2 linked regions of the Coturnix japonica genome follow. The protein of the gene in region 1 interacts with the protein of each later gene in a biochemical or structural test. Links are inferred from orthologs where the notes say so. Each region holds a gene or a part of one and is shown on either strand. Other genes may lie near its edges.

The links.
Region 2: the proteins of RAD51AP1 (region 1) and DMC1 form a complex in vitro, tested with the Homo sapiens proteins (2 studies listed by BioGRID and IntAct). The link is inferred for Coturnix japonica from reciprocal best matches to the Homo sapiens genes RAD51AP1 and DMC1.

Annotation. Positions count from the first base shown.
Region 1 is NC_029516.1:67,090,608-67,094,742, forward strand, and holds the start of RAD51AP1 (RAD51-associated protein 1), read right to left. Parts: upstream 2,801-4,135; 5' UTR 2,771-2,800; coding exon 2,694-2,770; intron 861-2,693; coding exon 811-860; intron 1-810. UniProt on the Homo sapiens protein: Structure-specific DNA-binding protein involved in DNA repair by promoting RAD51-mediated homologous recombination.
Region 2 is NC_029516.1:46,421,127-46,424,204, forward strand, and holds the end of DMC1 (meiotic recombination protein DMC1/LIM15 homolog), read left to right. Parts: intron 1-781; coding exon 782-842; intron 843-1,250; coding exon 1,251-1,367; intron 1,368-2,132; coding exon 2,133-2,202; 3' UTR 2,203-2,578; downstream 2,579-3,078. UniProt on the Homo sapiens protein: Participates in meiotic recombination, specifically in homologous strand assimilation, which is required for the resolution of meiotic double-strand breaks.

The sequences.
Region 1 (4,135 bases):
TCTAAATGCCATAGAACAGATACATGATACTTCTGAGATAAAAATCTAAGGGACAGAGGAAAACAAGCTTCCTTTTTTTTGTAGTATGACAAGTGGTCACTTAAAAAAAAAAAGTTACGAACTGTATTTAAACTTGTGAAACTCTGCATTAACTCACATGACTTACAAGGGATCTTCAATATCACTTAACTTTTCTTTCCCCTTCCTATCACTTCAAACTGTTCAGTGGATACCAAAAACTGACAAATAGCACAGGAAGATAGAAAAATAAACCAAATTCATGAAGGGAAATGATACAATACCCATTAGGGCTTAGAGGTAAAGGAGGATTGTCACGAAAACTAAGAGCCTACAATCTATTTTTCTTACCAATTCAACTCAAAATTTGATTGCTAAATTCTTATCCAAAATCCTTTAAGTTACAGAGCTGGATGAGAAATGTTAGACCTGTGCACAGCCAACTACATAACTCCCTTTACATTCTGATATGAAGTCTTGTGAAATGATCATCAGGAGGGCACAGAACAAGTAACTCTCTGAAAACTGAGGTAGGCAGAGAAACAGATTTTCCTGCAATCAAAAGACACAGTGCATTCAACAGATCCCTGGCAAACTGTTGTTATGCTTTGGCTTACAGAAATCATATTCTTGCTGAATTAGGATTTTCAACATGTTCAGTTTATATCCACTGAAAACAGTAATAGCCTTGTCACTTAACTAATGCATGAAAAAGAAGAACACTCTGCTGATACTTTAGGTTGTAGCATTAGCGCTTGGCATTTCAGTTATGTACAGAAATACACCACTTACCACCATCTTCAAAGTCCCCAAATTCTGAATAATTAACAATTTTCCTGTTCCTGTGGCAAAAGAACACAGTATTAGGCCCTTCGTATTGAGAATCCCTACTAGCTAATTCTTGATTTGGTTTGTATCATGTATTTAAGGAGAAAAGCAGCGTATGTCCAAATACATGTGTAACTATTACTATTGCATACAATATGGTTACTAAGAACAGAATAGCTTGGTTAGGAAGGGACAGTTCCAACCCCCACTTCTGAGCATAGGGACACCTCCATCAGATCAGGCTGCCCATTAGGCCTACTTTGGCTTCTCTGGGCAGCCTGTTTCAGTGCCTCACCACCCTCATGGTGAAGAATTCCTCCCTAATACTCAACCAAACCTACCCTCATGAAATTTGAAACAGTTTCCTCTTGTCTTCCTGAGAGTCCTATTCAGTTCTGTTGTACGCTCTTGTATGGGAAATTGGTAATCACAGCCTGAACCTCTGATTAATCAGCTGAGGCAAGTGTTAGGTCAGCTGCAGGAGCACAGGTGAGAGTAATTTAGCTGTGCTCCTGGAAGGGATGGAGCTCGACTCCACCTCCTCTAGACCTCATTTAAGGGCTGACCCCCACTGAGGCAGCATCTCTTGGAGATCACTCCCTGGTGGAGATTGCCTCAGCTTTTTCCAGCTAAGGCATTGATATTGGTGTGTTTCCCTTTACCTTTTGAATATTTACCATCTTTCATATTATCCACCCTTACAGCTCTCTTTAGGTGCTATTAGGCTACTATAGGGTCTTCCCAGAGTCTTCTTGTCCCCAGGCTGAACAAGCTAAACCCCCTGAAACTGCCTTACTCCTAAGTGCTCCAGCCCTGATATCTTCATGGCCCTCATCCAGACCTATTTCAACAGCTCTTCATCCTTCCCCTGTTGAGAGCCCCAAGCATCAACGCAGTTTTCCAGATGGGCCCTCGTGAATGCGGAGCTGAGGGCCCTGCCCTGTTGGCCATCCCTCATTTAATACAGCCCAGGGTACAGCTATCCCTCCTGGGCTGGAATTGCACACTGTTGGCACATGTTGGGACATGTTGGGTTTTTCATGAACAAACAATCCCAATCCTCTGCAGCGCTGCTCTCAATCCATTCATCTTCATTCCTGAATAGCTCCTAAGTAAGGGTTTTTGCACAGAATCACAGAATTGTAGGGGTTGGAAGGGACCTCTAGAGATCATCGAGTCCAACCCCCTGCCAAAGCAGGTTCTCTATACCATGTTGCACCGGTAGGTGTCCAGGTCTTGAATATCTCCAGAGAAGGAGACTCCACCACCTCCCTGGGCAGCCTGTTCCAGTGCTCCGTCACCCTCACTGTAAAGAAGTTCTTCTGCACATTCGTGCTGAACTTCCTATGCTGTAGTTTCATCCCATGTTGTTGTTTCCCTTATGGCAGCACACACACAACTCCTTGGAGATCGATTCCATTCCACGGTCACTTTCAGACCGAGGAGATGAGGCTGCACGTCACACAAGCGACGGGCAAATGCAGCGCGCGCGCGCCACAGGCTTTCGAAGAAAAACCAGCTCGGCGCCGTTCGGCTCACATCCCAACCCGCCTGAAGGAGGCACGGCAGCCATCACAGTATATACACACAGTATCACAGTCTTGGGCTGGTTGGAAGGGACCTTAGAGATCATCGAGTCCAACCCCCGGGATTCGAGCCTCTGTGTAGCAGGGCAGCACTTCGACCACTTGCGCCACAGGGAGGATTCGAACCCCAGTCTCCAGTGTTGCTAAGTGGCGTCCTTAACCACTGCGCCACCGGGGCACACACGGTCCGCACAACACGCACTTGTGCCCCTTGTCCCTCCGCGCGGCTCGGCCAGACCCGACCCCAGACCCGTCACCCACCTCCTCGCCATCCCGGCCATCGCCGCGGCAGCCGGCGACAGCCACCCGCCGTTGACGCTGCTCGCAGAACGGCACATTCGCCGCAAAGAGGAGGGGCGAAGGCAGCCGGTTCTACGGCGTCGAATCTGCGTCTGCGAATGTGAAACTACTGAAAGGAAGGGAGGAGGTCCCGGCGTCGGCCCTTCCCGGGCGGACACATTGAATTACCGCATCCAGAGCACAGGTGAGACATGGCGGAGCTGGATGCCCGCACCGCCTTGCTTTGTGGTGGGGTGCTGGCTCGCAGCTGGGCAGGGGGCTTTGTTCGCCCGGGGAACGCGTTACTGCAGACCCTTCTGCTCTTCCCTTCTGTCACCAACTGTTCTATGCGTTTTCAGTAATCAGAACTACTGCGGCCTCTCCTCTGAGCTTGGTAACTTTGAGCCTGAGGACAAAAACTGTTACCTTTTGTCTTATCTTTCAGCCTGGAGAAGAGAAGGTTGCGGGGTGACCTCATTGCAGCCTTTCAATACCTGAAGGGAACCTAAACCCGGGAGGGGAGTAAACTCTTTGAAAGGGCTGACAATAGCAGGACTAGGGGAAATGGATCCAAGTTAAAAGAGGGAAGATTTAGGTTGGATGTTAGGGGGAAGTTCTTCACTAGGAGAGTGGTTAGGCCCTGGAACAGGCTGCCCAGGGAGGTTGTGGATGCCCCGTCCTTGGAGGTGTTCAAGGCCAGGTTGGACGGGGCCCTGGGCAACCTGATCTAGTAAAGGTATATGTTTGGTGGCCCTGCCAGGCAGGGGGGTTGGAACTACATGATCCTTGAGGTCCCTTCCAACCTGGGTCATTCTGTGATTCTGTGATTATCGCTCCTGATAAAGAGTACCCACCCAGCTTCCTTGTCTGCTCCCTTTAGTCACTGCGGGGATGCTACAAGGTCTTCCTGGAGCCTTCTGTTCTCCAGGCAAGAAAATAAACAGCTCTCAGCCTGTCTTCATAGGAGAGATGCTTCAGCTCACTGATCATCCTTGTGCCCTTCTTCTGGATTTGCTCTAACAGGTGTATGTCTTTACAGTGCTGGGAGGCCCTGAATTGGATGCAGTATTCGGAGTTTTTTTCATTTTTGTCTTGTAGACAGCTCTCTTGTTTTTGTTTTGTTGTTTTTTTTCCCTGCTTTTTAATTAATTTATTTATTTATTTAATTTTAATTTTGTTTACTGTCTATCAGTGTATCCTTAGGCCCGTTTCAAAATGACTACGTAAGCTTCTTCTGGAAGTTACTGCTGTCTTCTCTTCCCCCCCTCCACAACTCTACCACCAGTGGAAGAGGCAGTAAAATCCTAATGCACTCCAGACTGTTTCACTTTTTGAGACACAGTTGTCTGCAATTGCAGTTTCTCAGTTAAAGACAGCTTTTCATGTCTTTTCCTTTTGTCTTGGTTCTACCTTTTAGTCACAAT
Region 2 (3,078 bases), about 21 Mb from region 1:
GGAGTTACTGAAACAGCAATTGTTGGTGGCATGACCGCTAAGTGTTTTATCAAATCAGGCACTGGCCCTGAGATCCTTCTTTACTTTATGCGTCTATCAGTTACCAAAAAGAAACAAAAGTATCTGATTTCAAGGAGATAACTAAAGGAGTCTTTGGAATTATTTAACATCTAGAGCTCTCCCAGAAATACCATTAAGAAGTCCTAAATGGGAGGACAGGTTTTGAAACTGGACAAATATCCAGCCTTCCCCCAGCTTCTACAGTCTAAACATACAAGAAACGTGGAGAACAGGATAAAAATGGAGAAGGCACAGAGAGAGAAGGCTGTGTCCATCGCCTCATTCTTAATTACTGCGTAGTGCTCTGAGGGACGATGGTGGGATGAACAGGATTCTTCCTTTTTTGGAATGGTTCAGAAATGTTGATGAGGAATGAGGAAATGTTTTGATGTAGTAAATGCCAAAAACAAAAAAGGGAACCATCAGAGGGAGGGAGAAGAGGCCTAGGGCATGGAGCCAACGGAGAAGATGGGAATTGGGCAAGACTTGTTCAGCAGAACACTGAAAAGTGCTCATTTTTGGCATGAATATTACAGCTGACACCAGAGCAAAATTAGGCTGTCTTCCTGTTAACCCCAGCCAGCAGATGTAAGGAACATTTGCTTCTCTTTCCTTTGAAATGTGAAGTGCCTCTGTAGCAACCTTGATCTTAGCGTGAACATGAGGGTATTTTTGAAATCTAAGTGGATACAGTTCACCTTTGCATTGTTCTCTATTGCAGAATATAACGTGGCTGTGTTTGTGACCAATCAGATGACCGCCGATCCAGGAGCAACTATGACGTAAGGATACTCTCACTGTCAAATCTCTTCTCTTTTGGTTACATACTGAACTGAGATTGAGCAAAAAGCATTGACATGAAGGCGTGCTCCTCATGTTTTAACTATTTCAGGCTGCTCTTTTGTCTTTCTGGTATCATCATCCACAGATGACACCTATGGGTTTCTCTCTATCATGATAGTTTTGTTAATGATTTCTTTTTCCTGGCTGGCATGATGATTTCTTTTGCTATTTGATGAGAGGACGCTGAGTGTTGTGCATTTGAGCATCCCATCTTGAGGCAGGTGTGTTTATCTCCTCTTTTGATTTATACCTGTTTATTATTTGTTACTGACTTCACTGTGCGTTGCCTGACAGAGAATCACACTATTAGCCAATGGAAATCGCATGGTGATTTTTTGCTGGTTTAGCTTTCAGGCAGACCCAAAGAAGCCGGTTGGGGGCCACATCCTGGCTCATGCTTCGACGACCCGAATTAGTTTGAGGAAAGGGAGAGGAGAGCTGCGTATTGCAAAGATATACGACAGGTAAAGCTGTGTGTCTCTTCAGTTAAGAAGCTGCATTATGAACACAGCGGGGTGTCAAAGTTCACTGCACCGAAACTTAATAGCTTGTGAACTGATTGGTGGTTTCAAATGAACCATGCATCTGGGGGGTATATTGAGAGAACATCTGAAAGGACAGTGATCAGTAGATTTAGATCGGTAGATTCCAAGTTGTCTCACATATCGTATGTATTACGTTATGTAACCTCATAAATCCCACTAGATGTTGATCTCTTCATGAAGACTATCAAATCATAGAACCACAGAATGGCCTGGGTTGAAAAGGACCACAACAACCACCCAGTTTCAACCCCTTTGCTACGTGCAAAGGTCGCCAACCAGCAGACCAGGTTGCCCAGAGCCAGGGTTGTCCCTTGGCAGGAACATTCCAGAGCTGTTCCATCACTCACTTTTGCTGCCCTCAGTGGGGTGTCAGTTTACAGGCTGAGCTGGGGCAGACACAAGTATTAAACAGCATATAAGCAGAACTGAGTGGCCATTGCTCCTGGCCACCAGCTGAAACGGGCCAGACAGCTTTGCACACACAGAATCATCTCTCCCACGCTTCCTCCTTTCCCCTCACTTGAGTTTCTCATCTTGAGAGTTGCCTTTCACATTTTCTCATCTTGATGACATCATGCACGTCACATATTGAAGTATCCCGTGTCGCTTTGACTTTAAACCTTTGGCAGACCGTTCCATTTAACACTTGTGGTTCTCTTTTCCCCCCTCTTCCCTCCCCTCCAGTCCTGAGATGCCCGAAAATGAAGCCACATTTGCAATAACTCCTGGAGGGATTGGAGATGCCAAAGAATAAGTGGGAACCTCATGCAGACATACAGCTGTTAACCACCAAGGCGCTTCGTTGGGATGAAGATCTGCTCCAGGTCGCTGCCTCCCCTGGCTGCTTTTTATCTGCTTGGAATCGTTTGAGAGGTGTTTGGGATAAACCGTGTGTGCTTCAGTGTTATTCAGCTGGTTCATTTGGGGTCTTCTCTTTTTAATTGGCAATAAATAGCTGATGGAAACAACAAGCCCAGGAGCTTTGCGGCACTCCATGTGTGGAAGAAGAGAATTAAATACCTGGAATACTTTCACGTCGGCCAGATTGCTTATTGAAGCACTTTTAGAAGAGAATGACCTAAAGTTGTTTATACTAAAGGGAATAATAAAGACCTAAAACGAGAACAGCACTCTGTGTGTCTTTGGGTGCTTCTCCTCCAGCCCCACTCTCACTCATCCCCAAGCCAGATACAACCCAACCTTTCACAACCCGTGTGGGGCACATCAAGCCGTTGTCTCGCAGCCAGGACAAAGCACACATCATGGCTGCCTCCCCTCTCGCTGCTGCCCGTGTGCTGAGCCCACAGCCCCCTGACAACCTGCCCTGTGAGGGGGCCCCGAGCCCACCCGGCCCTCGCAGCCCCCCGCACCCCCCTCCGCCGCACCGCCCTTATTGTCTCCTCCACAGCGGCAGCCGGCGCCCGGCCGAACAGCCGCATTCTCTAAGCGCCGCTACGCTGAACGATCAGCGTAATCCTCCGACCCTCCGCCAGCCCTTCCTGCACAGCCCGCGGAAGAATTTTACGCAAAACGTCGGGTTCTTCCTGCTCTACGTCAGCCTGAGTTACGCAAGCTGCGTACGCCGTGCGCTTACGTAACGTACGCCTCGGCCTAGCTTTTCCCTACCCTC